4 linked regions of the Sus scrofa genome follow. The protein of the gene in region 1 purifies or fractionates together with the protein of each later gene. This does not show direct contact. Links are inferred from orthologs where the notes say so. Each region holds a gene or a part of one and is shown in the gene's direction. Other genes may lie near its edges.

What was found. The genes of interacting proteins can lie anywhere in the genome.
Region 2: the proteins of FGFR1OP (region 1) and CEP78 purify together in Homo sapiens (affinity purification with mass spectrometry; 3 studies listed by BioGRID and IntAct, with this or other methods). This does not show direct contact. The link is inferred for Sus scrofa from reciprocal best matches to the Homo sapiens genes CEP43 and CEP78.
Region 3: the proteins of FGFR1OP (region 1) and PPP2CB purify together in Homo sapiens (affinity purification with mass spectrometry; 4 studies listed by BioGRID and IntAct, counting the BioPlex papers as one, with this or other methods). This does not show direct contact. The link is inferred for Sus scrofa from reciprocal best matches to the Homo sapiens genes CEP43 and PPP2CB.
Region 4: the proteins of FGFR1OP (region 1) and PPP2R3C purify together in Homo sapiens (affinity purification with mass spectrometry; 3 studies listed by BioGRID and IntAct, counting the BioPlex papers as one, with this or other methods). This does not show direct contact. The link is inferred for Sus scrofa from reciprocal best matches to the Homo sapiens genes CEP43 and PPP2R3C.

Annotation. Positions count from the first base shown.
Region 1 is NC_010443.5:2,100,222-2,104,066, reverse strand, and holds part of FGFR1OP (FGFR1 oncogene partner), read left to right. Parts: intron 1-831; coding exon 832-944; intron 945-2,450; coding exon 2,451-2,519; intron 2,520-3,845. UniProt on the Homo sapiens protein: Required for anchoring microtubules to the centrosomes. Required for ciliation.
Region 2 is NC_010443.5:231,108,379-231,112,223, forward strand, and holds part of CEP78 (centrosomal protein of 78 kDa), read left to right. Parts: intron 1-1,160; coding exon 1,161-1,327; intron 1,328-2,744; coding exon 2,745-2,916; intron 2,917-3,237; coding exon 3,238-3,285; intron 3,286-3,845. UniProt on the Homo sapiens protein: Centriole wall protein that localizes to mature centrioles and regulates centriole and cilia biogenesis. Involved in centrosome duplication: required for efficient PLK4 centrosomal localization and PLK4-induced overduplication of centrioles.
Region 3 is NC_010457.5:54,309,000-54,312,844, forward strand, and holds part of PPP2CB (serine/threonine-protein phosphatase 2A catalytic subunit beta isoform), read left to right. Parts: intron 1-1,541; coding exon 1,542-1,751; intron 1,752-3,530; coding exon 3,531-3,704; intron 3,705-3,845.
Region 4 is NC_010449.5:64,776,126-64,779,970, forward strand, and holds part of PPP2R3C (serine/threonine-protein phosphatase 2A regulatory subunit B'' subunit gamma), read left to right. Parts: intron 1-2,206; coding exon 2,207-2,339; intron 2,340-3,845. UniProt on the Homo sapiens protein: May regulate MCM3AP phosphorylation through phosphatase recruitment. May act as a negative regulator of ABCB1 expression and function through the dephosphorylation of ABCB1 by TFPI2/PPP2R3C complex.

The DNA of each region.
Region 1 (3,845 bases):
GTCTGGGGGCCGGGGAGTGGTCTGGGCTGAGAGGAACTTTAGGGGTCAGCAGTCATAGCTAAAGTCGCTGCCCGGGAGCCTGGAAGAGGTCACCAGGGAGGGGACACTGCATCGGGCAGGACCTGGAGACCCGTGCTTGGAGGAGGGGGCCGGAGCGAGCGGCTGGGTGAAGTTCTGCTGGAAACCCGCCTTGGGTTTTTGCCCTGTGGGCCCTTGAGTCAGATGGCGGGGCGCTGGTGCAGGGATGCGGGGTTCACGGAGGATGAGAGGAGGGTGCTAGTGACCAGACCTTCTGGTGAGGTTGTCGAGTGGGGTGCAGACGGATGGGAGGTGGCTGGAGGGCGGCTGTGGGGCTGGGAAGCGTTACACATGGGGAAGATAAGTGTGTGTGTGTGTGTGTGTATGTGTGTGTGTGTGTGTGTTGCGCAAACCCGGCTTTCCAGAGGGAGAGTGAAGCAAGTAGGAGAGGGGAAGGAATTCCTGGAGGGCCGGGTGGCGTCGGGCCCGCCGGCGGGGCTGAGGGCGCGCTAGGAAGGCCGGCTCGCCTGGGTCTCTGGGCCGTGGAAGGAGCTTCCGACAGCACCATGGACAGTGCAGCTGACGAGAGGGGCAGCCAGCGTGCTGGAGAGCGGGGGTGCCCTGCAGCATGACTTGGCAGGGACGCTTAGCCTGCGTGGCCTGGCAGGTGTGCTCCTGCCAGGTGCGGAGTCTGTGAAAGGCGAATTCTGTTTCCCAGCCACCCTCTTGGTACCTGGGAGGTCTGTTCAGGCCGCTCCTGTTTCAGAGGCAGATGTCGGAATCGCGTTTGACTGTGCGCTTGTTTCTTGGTAGGAGAAGTGAGCCTGGGAAGCAGGTAGGAAGCCTCGCCTCGCTCTCTGACGCGCCCCCTCTAAAAAGCGGACTCAGCCCCCTCGCTGGCGCGCCCTCGCTGAAGGGCTCCGAAGGTGAGTGTCCCCGGGCCCCTGGCCTCGCCCACCGAGGACGGGGACTTTGAACGCCGAGGAGGCTGTGTTTTTCTTTCATCAGCTAAGTAGGGTGTGATCCGTGTTTATTTTCTCGGAAAAATACATGTAAAATCACAAAAATAGCCAGTAATTTTACTACTCCGTGATCTTTTCTCTTAACATTTTATTTTAAAAATTTCTTTTGGGAGTTCCTGTCGTGGCACAGCAGAAACGAATCTAACTAGGAACGGTGAGGTCGCAGGTTTGATCCCTGGCCTCGCACAGTGGGTTAAGGATCTGGCGTTGCCATGGGCGGTGGTGTAGGTCACACAGGTGGCTCGGATCCTGCGCTGCTGTGGCTCTGGTGTAGGCCGGTGGCCGCAGCTCCGATTAGACCCCTAGCCTGGGAACCTCCACATGCCTCGGGTGCGGCCCTAAAAAGACAGACAAAAGAAAAAAACATTTCTTTTGAATATAGCCATATTCTCTTTGTAGTTTTGTGCTCTGCTTTTCCTATGTCATGAAAATACTTTTTAGCTGTTTTATATAACAGATAAATTATAATTTTTAAACCATTTTTCTTTTGTTGGACGTTTAGAGTGACTTCTATAGGATATAAGTTCAATTAATTTTTAAAGCTGTGTTCGTAGATTCTGTAGAGACACAGTAGTTATTCTAGGAGCGTTGAACCCGTTCTGCCCTCGGGCCTGGACCAGATGTCTTTTTATAGGAAGCAGCGACAGGGTAGCTAGACACGGAGTAGCCCTGCTGCCGCACACAGATGGCGACACGCCCAGGGGCACGTGACCGCACGGACAGGCTCGGTGTCCCGAGTCCTGGTAACCCTGGGGCTGATCTGGCAGAGCGTCCAGAGCATCTGCCTGCCTCTCTGAGGGGATCTTCGCTGGGAAACTGCAGTGGGATTTTGCAGAATCTCGTACCACTTCCCGACCTGGCATGACCTGCTGCCACCGCGGAGCAGGTGGTCTGTACACTGGTCGTGCGTCTGCTCACACGGCCCACGCCAGCGTCGCCGCCATCAGTGAAGGGGTCCAGAGGGTCACGACCACGTCCCTGTCAACACTGACTGGGGAATAATGATCGCGAGAGGGCGCCGAGGAAGGGAAACCAGTGAGGAGCTGAGCTTGGTGTACCCGCTCAAAAGAGGAGTGACACTGAGAAGAACTAACTGGGGTCCAAGCGTTTGTACCCAGTGGCGCTTTTCACTGAAGGCTGATATCTGATAGTTGGGTGAAAAATTACTTTGGTGGGCAGGTGCCAGTATAGACATGGGGCTGAAAAAGGGATGAGTGTGGCGGGGAGGCAGGGCCTTGCGCTGCGTGGTGTAAGTGTGTGCAGCGTGTCACCGTCACCGCTGGCCGTTTCCTCTGGGTTTTCAGTTACTGTGTCTCACAGAGGAACTCTGCTGAAAAAGAGTTGGCATGGTTTAAAGACTGTTAGGTTCTAAAAGTCGGTTTAATGTGAATATTTTTTTCCTGTTCACAGGTAAAAGGGGAAACACAATTTTGAAAGATCTTAAATTGGTCGGTGATAAAATGGGATCGCTCGGATTAGGTAACTCAATTTCCCGTTTAAGTGTTCATTGCTTTAAGGTGATTCACTTTTTCAGAATATAAACTTAAGTGTCAGCCACCCCCTGCGAGCACTTGAGAACAGCTCCATGGAGGGTCTGTGGTTGGGGTCGCTGTGCACACGGGTGGAGGCAGCAGTGGCCACTGTGGATCCTGTCCTCTCGGCTTTAAACCTGGTAGGAAGATGGGTGTTGAACAGGTGCCTTACAGGTTCGAGGAGTCTGCACTGTTGTGGAAACTGGTAGTAGGTTGACTTAACCCAGCATCCAGGCTCGGGATGCCTCTCCCAGGAGGTGGCGAGGGCGCTGCCGGGATGTGAGAGCCTGTGGTGGAGACAGAGCAACGCGGGCAGAGGCCGAGGCACCTGTCTGGGTGCCAGCAGCGTGGGGTCTGACGGGGGAGGGGGGCGCCTAGCAAGACCTGTGGGGGTGGGGTGAGCTCTGCCCTCCCGCCTGCGGGAGGAGGAGCCTCCGAGTGCAGGTCGCGTGGCTCTCGGGAGCCTGACCCGGCAGCGGAGAACCCAGCGCCCTGCCTCACTGTCGGTCACTTGGGTGTCGTGTAAATAGAGTTGCGGTGGAAACAGAAACTGGAGGTCCCAAAGACACGTTTCTCAGAGCCTTAGAGCACAGTTCAGTTGGGGAGACACAAATACCAGCCAGAGGCTGGCATGTTCACAGACGGGCACGTGTGGCGTGTTTAAAGCGTCCGCAAATTGTGTCTGAAAAGGGACCAAGGAGGTATTTTAGGCTTTGGGGGCCACGTGTGGTCTCCCCCGAGTCACCGTAGTGTTTTTACAGTCGCTGAGACACGTGGAAGCCATTCTCGGCTCCCAGGCTGTACAGAAGCGGGCTGGGGGCCAGATTTGGCCTGTGGGCCAGGCTTACACGTGTTACCAGGAAGTCAGAATCTCATGCCATGTTCCAGCTCGTTGCTCAGTGAGGATCTTTGTCTTTGAACTGGCCCGAAAGCTGGGGAGGGTGGGGGGATCGGTCACTTGTCCCTGATCCAGACGCAGCCCGGCTGTCCCTCCGAGCTCGATGTGCGCTCAGCCAGCCTGGAGTCAGGGCCGCCGGGCCTGGCTGCGGAGGCTGCGTCCCCTTTGGGAGCTGCCAGTCGCCCCTGCTGGGCTCTCTCGTGACGCTTGCAGCCCGGCCGCCTCTGGGGTGTGATCGGAAGGTTGCTGCCCCTCCTCGTCTCCGGGCTGCTGTCGCAGGCTCGGGTTCTCCCCTGCACCGGCCGCCCTGCGGCTCTGAGGCCGGACACGCTGTTGAGCAGCGGAGGAAGGTGATCTGAAGCTTGGCGCCGCTCC
Region 2 (3,845 bases), about 230 Mb from region 1:
CTTTAAAACTGCAATATGTTGCAGATTGGTTCTATCATATGGACCTTTGGATTTACTTGTACTTTGTGGTCATGTAATCTGTATTCCAGAAAGCATGTTTTTAAAAGTGTAAAAATCTTAGGTTTTGTGTATGTGTATATGTGCTTTTATATAACATTGGCTTATTTTATGTTCATGATGTTTCAATTCAAGAAAGCACTTACTGTGTTTATACTGTATATACAGTGGTATAAAAGACATGATGAGACACTCTGCTAGCAGTGAAATAGGAAAATGAATCATTTAAATAAGTATAAGAATTGGAAAACTGCAAAAAATGTAATGAAAGATAAAAATGTATATTGTGAGAGTTACATTTGGTAATATGCATGAAAGGAGGGTATAATCTAGAAAGTGCTATATAAATATAAATTATTACAGGGTGAGTTTAGGGAGGAATTTTTGAAAGTGCATGCTTTAGATTGGAGGATGCTTAGTCATTCAGTAAATATCGAGCACCTGCTTATATAAGCCCAAAAGTGGCATCAAGGACATGATGGCCTTTCTGAGCAGTACTGGAGTTGGGCTTATATGGGGTTTTAAATGTGTAGATGATGAGGGGAGAGAAGGAGTACAAGGGTGTGATTGTTTTCAGGAATCCAAGGAGAATATTGGTGATTGTGTAGCTAATAAATTGAATTGGGTATGATTTAGGACTTTTAAACTAACACATTAAATGTTTTGCTCACTAAAGTTAATCCGGTTTTAACATTCAGCAGAATTATAACATGCATTGTTCAAATCATACTTTATATATTTCATTTTCTAACTTAAGGGAAACTTATAGCAGGTAATTTTCTAATGTGAAATGAGGATCCATTATTAATTTAACCAGTTAGAAAGGTGATCTTTTAAAAGTTTGTTAATAAAACAATAGCTTTGGTTTTTATATGCCATCTAAGTGTTATGTCGGAAGCTTTGTTTGGGTACCGTTGGGTTTTGGTGATCATATGATAGGGGCTCTGTCTTTACTGGTAAGAGTTACATTAACTACAAGTTAATTACATTTCGAGTGTTTTATTTTAGCTTTTTTTCCTTAAAACTAGACAAGACTACTTTGGTTTTCTTTTGATAATAATGAGAAAAAAAACGTATCAAACATTTTCAATCTTATTTTATAGCTGGAACATGAAAATGCCCAGTTAAGAAATATAAACTTCTCTTTGTCTGAAGCCCTTCATGCGCAGTCATTGACAAGCATGATCTTGGATGATGAAGGTGTTTTGGGCAGCATTGAGAATTCTTTTCAGAAGTTCCATGCTTTCTTGGATCTCCTTAAAGATGCTGGGTTAGTTCATTTCTCTTGATGGCAGTCTTCTCTTCATGACTATAATGGTAGTTTGTGAGGAACTTGAGCAATTTTTATTGCTTCCATTGCCATATCTAGTCAAATTTAGTGTAACTATAGGTAATACAATCGATTTTTTTAAATAAAGAATTAAAATTTTCAAGAAATGCAAATGGGGTAGCCTGCTTTGGTAGAGTGGAGAGCCCATTTTAAAAGAGTAACCTGTAGGAGTTCCCATTGTGGCTCAGTGGTTAATGAATCCAACTAGGAACCATGAAGTTGCGGGTTCGATCCCTGGCCTTGCTCAGTGGGTTAAGGATCTGGCGTGGCCGTGAGCTGTGGTGTAGGTTGCAGGTGTGGCTTGGATCCTGCGTTGCTGTGGCTCTGGTGTAGGCCAGCGGCTATGGCTCCAATTAGACCCCTAGCCTGGGAAACTCCATATGCCACAAGAGTGGCCCAAGAAATGGCAAAAAGACAAAAAAAAATTAACCTGTAGATGAGTAATTAGTAGGTATAGTTTTTCGTAAAGACTAAATTGGATGTAATTTTAATTGAAAATATTTCAGAATGTGTAGGAATTTTCCTACCTTTTATTTATTTTGCTTGTTTGATAAGTTTAAAGTTATTTTTGTCCTAGACGTAAAAATGTATTATTAATCTTCAGGGAAGATTAGTTGTTCTCAACTGGGAGCAGTTTTGTTGAAAGAGAGAAATGGAGATTGATAGTTGATGGAGTGGTATTTTGTCAGTGAATGAGTTGATGTGGGGAGGAAGGAACACACTGTCAGAAACTATAGGGAATGTGGTAAAGAAGTGTATGGGAGTTCCCGTCGTGGTGCAGTGGTTAACGAATCCGACTAGGAACCATGAGGTTGCGGGTTCGGTCCCTGCCCTTGCTCAGTGGGTTAACGATCCGGCGTTGCCGTGAGCTGTGGTGTAGGTTGCAGACGCGGCTCGGATCCCGCGTGCCTGTGGCTCTGGCGTAGGCCGGTGGCTACAGCTCCGATTCAACCCCTAGCCTGGGAACCTCCATATGCCGCGGGAGCGGCCCAAGAAATAGCAACAACAACAAAAAAAAAAAAAAAAAAAAAAAAAAAAAGACAAAAGACCAAAAAAAAAAAAAAAAAAAGAAGTGTATGAATGCAGGTGAGAGGCAGTGAATGAGATGCATGGTAGATGTTGGAACCGCTCGTGAGTTAAAAATGAGCAGTAGCAGGTAAGGAGATGGGATGTGTCCTGGGCCATGAGTCTAGAAGAGGCTGAGAATTGGGGAGAGAGAGTGGTTTATAGACTGGAGTAGGATGTTGGCTTTTAAGATTTTAGAAGTATTTCATAATTACAAGTCTGGGGGAGTCTAAGCTGCTCTTGTATGATTATAATAACCTTTGTCTTTTCCTCCTTTCTTCCTCTTGTCCAGGCTTGGGCAGCTGGCCGCAATGGCTGGTATAGATCAGTCAGATTTTCATTTACTAGGTCATCCCCAGATGAATTCTACTGTTAGTAGTCCACCTAAAGAAGAAAAGAAGGCACTTGAAGAAGAAAAATCAGAATCAAAACAGAGTGCCCTTGGACAAATGCAAAATATCCAAGTAAGTGGACAGAATAGAACTTAATGATTCTCAAAGCGATTAGCAAAAAGGGTATTACCAAGTCAGAAAGAAAATAATGGTGATCATCTCTAATAGTTTCACATGCTTGGGAGCCAGAAGCCTCTTTGGAGTGCTTTCCAAATCTGAGATTAGGAACTTTGTGCCCATTTTTATGTTCCTGTATTATTATAAAAAAACTGGAAATTCTTTTGAAAATCTATGAGTTAAAGAAAACTATTCTTAGTGAAGAAAGAAAACGTTAGAGAAAATAGTCCAGATTTTATATTGTATAAATGTCTATTCTATTCATATTTTATCTAGGTTTCTATTTGTATGCAGTCAGCTTACAATGAAGGAACACTAATGAAGGTACAAGTACTGATACAGATAATGTTTTAAGATAAGTAATTCAGACATAGCTAGTGGGCAGTATATTACAGTGAGTCACCCGGCTATGGAAACGGGAGGGGAAAACCTGTCAGCTTTGCCTCAAGCCTCACTTGGAGCTCCCATCTCTCACCTCAACCAATCTCACACCACTGGTCTTGGGAACTGACAGCTTTAGAACACAGTCAGGTCACAGACTGGATATTGTTTACATGTGTCTAGAGGATAGAAAAGAAATTACTTTTCTTACAGAACAGCATTTGGGTTTTTTTTTTGGGGGGGGGTTCCTCCCATTTTTTGGCCATACCTGCAGCATATGGAAGTTCCTAGGCCAGGGATTGGACCCCAACCACATCGCGACCTACATGCCACAGCTGCAGCAACACAGGATCTTTAACCCACTGTGCCAGGTGGGGATTGAACTGGCGACACCACAGAGGCAAGCCATATCACTAATACACTGTACCACAATGGGAACTCCAAGGGTGTATTGTTTTTAATGAGGGCAAGGAAATGGGTGATATCTACCCCAGATACCCAAA
Region 3 (3,845 bases), on another chromosome or scaffold:
ATGAATAGAGATTTAGGAAACAAATTGAGGGCAAAATTCATAGTGAAAATTAATGATGAGAGAAATAATTAGACATGACAAAATATAACTGTCTCTAGAAAGGAAGGACTTACTATAATCAGAAGGGATGCAATTGAAACCAAAAAGAACAGACAAACACGATTTTTAAAAAACAAGTAATCGTATCTGAAATAGGAAATTCAACAAATAAAGTAATCCATCTTTGGACAGAAGTCCCCAGAATTTAAGGAATTATGGCATTTATAGATCAGAAGAATTTACTGGGTTTTAGGAGATCTTGATCTTAGGTTTCTGGCCTCAAGAACTGTTAGAAATTTGGCCGCTGTGGTATTTTTGTTATAGCAGCCTGAATAGATTTAATATACTAGTGACTATAAGATTCATAAAAGAAAAAAAATTGTCATTTTATATTTGGAAAATATATTTTCATATATGGAAAATCCAGGAGAATCTATGAACATGTGGAAGTTCCCAGGCTAGGGATTGAATCAGAGCTGCAGCTGGCCAGCCTACACCACAGCTCGAGGCAACGACAGATCCTTAACCTACTGAATGGGACTAGGGATCCAACCCAAGTCCTCATGGATACTAGTTAGGTTCGTTACCACTGAGCCACAGTGGGAACTCAGATTCTGAATTATTAAAGTTTTCAAGTTGCAAGAGTATTATGTGAACAAGTAATTGTTTAAAATCCCAGCATAATATCAGATATAAATTATCTTGAATTACACCCTATAAGCAACAACAAGTAGACATTCTTAGTTATGCAAGTTGATTAACAAATAAAGGAAATCTGAATAAATGGTACAGAGCTTTGTGGGGTTTTTTGGGTTTTTTTTTTTTTTTTAATAGCTGCATCTGTGGCATATGGAAGTCCCTGGGGGCCAGGGACTGAATCTGAGCCACAGGTGCAGCAGTGCTGGATCCTTTAACCTACTGCACCAGGCCAGAGATCAAACCCAAGCTTCTACAGCGACCCAAGCTGCTGCAGTCTGATTTTTAATCCAATGCACCAGAGAGGGAACTCCTGCATAAATGGTGATCAGTATCATATACATCAATGGAAAGGCTGATTAAAGTGCTTTTTGCTCCAAGTGTGTAAATTCAGTGCAGTTTAAGTCAAAATCTGCAGATTTTCAAGGGATTTGACAAGTTAGCTCTTAAAATTCACGTTGTATCAGTCTGTACTGACACTGGTTAGTAGATCAGTAGGTTGTAGATGGAGCTTGGATCCCACATTGCTGTGGCATAAGCCAGCAGCTGTGGCTCTCATTTGACCCCTAGCCAGGGAACTTGCATATGTTGCAGGTGCAGCCCGAAAAAGAAAAAGAAAAAAGAAACTTATAATTTTTTATTTAACCACCCTAGTAGGTATAAAGTGATATCTTCTTTTGGTTTTAGTTTTATGATTTTAAAATGTACATTTCAGGTGGTTTTTCCCTCCAGATTTTCTTTTAATAGACAAGAAACGATGCCTTCAAATCTGTGATACTTTCTAATTGTTCATTTTTTTTAAACAGGCTAAGGAAATTCTAACAAAAGAATCAAATGTGCAAGAGGTTCGTTGTCCAGTTACGGTCTGTGGAGATGTGCATGGTCAATTCCATGATCTTATGGAACTCTTTAGAATCGGTGGAAAATCACCAGACACAAACTATCTATTCATGGGTGACTATGTAGACAGAGGTTATTATTCGGTGGAGACTGTGACTCTTCTTGTGGCATTAAAGGTATGATTAATGAAATTCAGTTTTCCTTTATTTGATCTTTAAGCTGGCAAAAGGCAAGAGTGGTGGCATTGCGTATTATCTGTTCTAGTTTATGATCCACTTATTTTATAGCCTTTAAATTAAGAGTTGATTTTACATCTAGCCATTTATTCCCTTGTATAGAGTCATTTAACAAGGTTTTTTTTAATTCTTGCCTTGAAAAGTTTGTCATTCCTGTGTCTCTCTTTGCTGTCATACAATGCATATCTTTATCACTTCATACTTTAATTAGTGCAATAGTGTGGTAATTAATATTTCTGTCTCCAAGATCTGACCCCTCCAAATCTACCTTGCATGTACTACGGGATTAAATTTCTCTCATTAAACACTTGCATCTTGTTATTTCAATGTTCCCAATGATTCCATGTTCCCTGTAGAGTCAAGCTCACATTCTTTGGCTGGACCTCTACCATCTAGCCTGAATTTGCTGCTAATAGGTGGTAGCATAAACCCCTTGCCTCAAATCAAAGAGTTTCAGTGCTCTTGCCTGTCTCCAAATATTTCCTTCTCTGGCTTCTCCAAAAGATTACTCTGTCTGATTTCTTTCCACTTCTGCCAGGACTCAGCTCAAGTCCTCCTTCTCCCATAAAGCCATTTTAGTTTTACTCCTTCTATTCTAAATGATTGTGAAACTCATTCTCCCATCCTTTATTTATGTTACATAGTGGTGTATTGCCTCGTATTATTTACTTCTCGTACCTCCTAATGAAATTAGTCTCTAACCAGCAGAATTCATGTATTGTATTTGTGCAGACCTGGCACCTAGTTTTGAACACTGAGTTTAGTATTGGACCCATGATGGATGCTTAGTAAAATATTTATGAAGTATGCATTTGCAGCTTTTTGGTTTACAAAATCTGATGCATTTCCATACTTCTTATCAGACACATTCCTAACTAAATAGTATACCATAAAGTATGTCTGTATGTTTTGTTATGAAAAAGAGACTAAATACATTTATAATCTTGCCCAGATTTGTCAGGGCCTGTTTTTGTGTTTTGTTGGCAAATACACTCTTCCTGTGGAAATAAGAGGAAGGGAGAAGTTGGTCTGTAGAGAGTTTGTCTTGGGTCCAGATTTGTGATCTGTGTCCCTTCAACATTAAAACGTCAGTGTTCTGGAAAGACTGACTAGTGGTAGTCTGAGGATGAAAAAGATGTTAGAGACAATCAGATACAATTTTATTATAGTAATATAGGTATCAGTTAATAAGGATTTCAGTGAGGGGAGTGTGAGTACATGATGAAGAATGACTATTAAAAATTATTTTAAAGATTAAAGAGGACCTGGTGGCGAATGAAAAAATTTTTTATTCTGAAAAAGAATTAACATTTAATGAAATAGCATTTAAAGAAAGCCATTTTAAAAAAAAGAAGAAGAAGAAAGAGCCATTTAAAGAAATGGGGTCTGAGGTTAGGAGTTCCCATTGTGGCTCAGTGGTAGCGAGTCCGACTAGCATCCATGAGGACACAAGTTCGATCCCTGGCCTCGCTCAGTGGGTTAAGGATCTGGTGTTGCCATGAGCTGTGGTGTAGGTTGCAGACGCAGCTTAGACCCCTGGTTGCTGTGGTGTGGGCCGGCAGCTGTAGCTCCAATTTGACCACTAGCCTGGGAACCTCCATATGCTATGGGGTGGCCCTAAAAAAACAAAAGAAAAGACAGAAATGGGTCTGAAGATAATGGGCAAAACATAACACTAATAAAAATATGTACCATGGGTTTCTTTTGCTTTTCCTCAAGGTGCGGTATCCAGAACGCATTACAATATTGAGAGGAAACCACGAGAGCCGACAAATTACCCAAGTATATGGCTTTTATGACGAATGTCTGCGGAAGTATGGAAATGCCAATGTTTGGAAATATTTTACAGATCTATTTGATTATCTTCCACTTACAGCTTTAGTAGATGGACAGGTGTGTATGTGAGGGTGGATAAAAGTAGGAAAGGATTTTGATTAGTAATTTGTAGTCTGGGTTTACATGGCATTCTTTCTGCATCTCCTTGGACTTTTCTCTCTCTTTCCCTTAAAGTTTCAGAACAAGGAATTGGGTTAG
Region 4 (3,845 bases), on another chromosome or scaffold:
GACACACTGTGTTTGAGATGCCATCTGTTCTGCAATTTAAATTATAAAGTATCTCAGATAAAATAGAAACATTATACTTTACAAAGCATAAAGCAAAAGTAACAAAATTGTTAAATGTAGGAAAGCTTGAGAGACTTAAATATATAGTCTTGGAATAGGAGAAGCCTTTCTAAGGATGACAAAGCTCAGAAGTCTGAAAAATATAAGTTCAACTGAATTTTTTAAAATATGGGGAGTTACCCTGTGGCACAGCAGGTTAAGGGTCTGGCACTGTCACTTCAGCAACTCAGGTCACTACTACCAGTTCCATCCCTGGCCTGGGAACTTCCACATTTTGCAAGTGCAACCAAAAAAAAAAAAAATCTAGGCATTCCCATTGTGGCTCAGTGGTAACAAACCCAACTATTATCCATGAGGATGTGGTTTTATCCCTGGCCTCGCTCAGTGGGTCAGGGATCTGGCATTGCCATGAGCTGTGGCATAGGCCTGCAGCTGCAGCTCCAGTTCAACCCCTAACCTGGGAACTTCCACAGATGCAGCCCTAAAAAGAAAAAAAGACTATAGAGCAAAGACCATCATAAACAAGTTAAAAGAAAACAAACTGAGAAAAGTATCTGAAACTCTGTCACAGACAAGTGGCTGGTTACCCTTTATATATAAAAAGCTCCTAGAAATCAAGAAAATGGCTTTTAATCCAATAAAAGGATACATTTTGCAAAAAGCAAAATACAAATGCTTCTTAATCACAGAAAAAATGTTAAGGGCACTTTAAGAGCAATGCCAAATAGATGTACATTAAAATATAATTTTTCACTTATCAGATCAGCAAGGATCAAAAAGTTTGATAATGCTTTTAATGAAGGAATATAAAATAGACCATGGTTTCCCAGACTTTTTCAGTTCACTGAGGTGCCCTTATTGTGTCAGTAATTTTTCCACAGGAAAATGGCCAAAAGAAATATCTAACAATTGCATTTATTTAACCAGTTAGTCCTAAACAATTCAGTGAAAATATTCGCTAAACTTAGCCTGTTAGCCATTTGAAACAGTGATGCATGTAAATCAAAAGAAAATCATATTTTTACTTTCTTCTTAAGTAACAATTACTAATGGAGTATGTGTGCCCATGGGGCACTGTCCAGCTGCTCAACCCTGGGTATTAGATTGGACAAAGTCATCCTCAGTTCCTCTTCCACACTGATCTTCATGTGGTACCTGCTTTATCACAGCAGCCAGCAGCAGTAGCTTTGTAAAGATTGATGTCAAAAGGAATAGATTTTGATCTGATGTTGACCTTGTTTCATAGCTCCAGCACATGGTGACAGGTCGTATAATACCCAACAGATGTCGCTGTGTTTCCCTTAAAAGTTCATAATATCCAGCTGCATCCCTGTGAGTTTAGTGTTTATTTTGCAAAAAGCAAAATACAAATGCTCCTGGGGCACAATTTGGGAACTACTGATACAGCCTTCACATTGCTGGTGGGAGTATAAAATGAATGTGGCCTCTGTGGGAAGGTGGGAAGTTTACTGATGTCTGTCAAAATTATAAACCTGTGTATGCTTTAACCCAGCAATTCTACTTACAGAAATTATATCCTGTATTCTCTCTTAATATCTATGAATGAAAATTTAGCTTTGCCCCTATAGGTTTTTTTTAGTGTTGCAAAATATTGAAAAGTCTAAATGTCCATCAGTAGAAGACTGTTTAAATAGATTACAGTACAATGAAATAAAGAAGTAGAAACTCTTTGAGAGTCTAAATGGAATGACTGCATAGTGTATTGTTAGGTGATAAATGCAAGATACAAAAGAATCTGCATGGTATGCTGCTACAGCCTTTGTTAAAAAAAAAAAAGGAAGAGAAATATATATGTATTGGCTTCTATGTGCATCAGTTATTTCTGGAAAGATACATCAGAAGCTGATAAGTTCCCTCTGAGGAGAGGAAACAGGTGAGAGGGAAACTTTAATGAATGCTTTTTCCTTTTGAATTTGGAACTACATAGAATGTGTTACCTATTCAAAAATATGTCAAGTAAATAAAAATAAATATAGTTTCACCACTAGTAAGATAGGAATTTATTTCATCAATATAGTATTAATCTTCAATTATTATTAGGACTGAAATCATAGTCTAGTATCTAAGGAAGAAACAAGGTCAGACATTTAACACTTTAAAGTTTTATTTTGTTTTGTTCTTTCAGGATTTAGAAAACTACATATTGGAACTTATCCCTACTTTACCACAGTTAGATGGGCTGGAAAAATCTTTTTACTCCTTTTATGTTTGTACGGCAGTTAGGAAGTTCTTCTTCTTTTTAGACCCTCTACGAACAGGTAACAGAAAATCTTATCTAATTTAAATATTATGAGGATATCATTACTTCTAAATCTCAGTAACTAAAGTCTTAAAATTTCATTTATTTTCCTAACATGTCATTGCCATTAGTATATAATCTTTTGATGTACAGATCTTTTTTTTTTTTTTTTTTTTGTCTTTTTGCCATTTCTTGGGCCGCTCCCGTGGCATATGGAGGTTCCCAGGCTAGGGATCTAATCAGAGCTGTAGCCACCGGCCTACACCAGAGCCACAGCAATGCGGGATCCAAGCCGCGTCTGCAACCTACACCACAGCTCACGGCAACGCTGGATCGTTAACCCACTGAGCAAGGGCAGGGACCGAACCCGCAACCTCATGGTTCCTAGTTGGATTCATTAACCACTGCACCACAACGGGAACTTCTGTATAGATCTTTTGATTTACTTTCACCAGCCATAACTAGTCATGTGATAGTGGGTGTGTCACTTAACCTTTTACAATTTTTCATCTCTAAAATGAAGTATGAACTGGATGATCTGTGGTTCTTTCCAGTTCTAATAAACCAGATATTCTGCTATAATTTGCTGTCCCTTACAGGTAATATATTGGAGAATTATTCTTTTTGATGAAAAATAGGAATTGGGAGACAGGAGAACCATTTAGCCATGGTGTAGTTTTCTCTTTCACAAGTTAACTATCCTATATGAGGATCAGATTTGTAAATTTGGCTTCATTAGTAGGATGCTTTATCTGTTATTTTAACCTACTTGACTTAAAAACATGTAACTGGGGAGTTCCTGTCATGGCTCAGTGGTTAATGAACCTGACCAGAATCCATGAGGATGCGGGTTCAATCCCTGGCCTCACTCAGTGGGTTAAGGATCTGGCACTGCCATGAGCTGTGGTGTAGGTCACAGATGAGGCTTGCGTTGCTGTGGTTGTAACGTAGACTGGCGACTGCAGCTCCAGTTGGACCCCTGGCCTGGGAACTTCCATATGCCACAGGTGCAGCCCTAAAAAGACAAAAAAAAACAAAAAACAAAAAAACAGAACATGTAATTGGGACAGAGGAAGGGACAGAAGGCCCAAGTCAAAGTCCTTGATTCTCTTTCTTTCCTTGAAGCTATAAATCCATCACAGTATGGGGTTGCTGTCAATCTTCCCCCCACCCAGGGCATGTGGAAGTTCCCAGGCCAGGGATGGAACCCATGCCACAGCAGCAATCTGGGCCACTGCAGTGATAATGCTGGATCCTTAACCACCCACACCCAACGGGAATGCCTCTGTCAATCTTTTTTAAATGCCTCCATTATAAGCACATAGCTAATGGTTTTGACTGTTTATTTTGTGCCAAGTTCTGTGCTAAGCATTTTATGTAGATTCTTTCATTTGCTTCTAGTTAACTCCATAGGGAAGGTATTATCCACATTTTATGTGTGAAACAACTGAGAGATGGCTTGCGTATCTAGAAGTAGCATTTAAATCCCCATCTGTCTGCTTTTAACCATGCCTCTATATTGCCA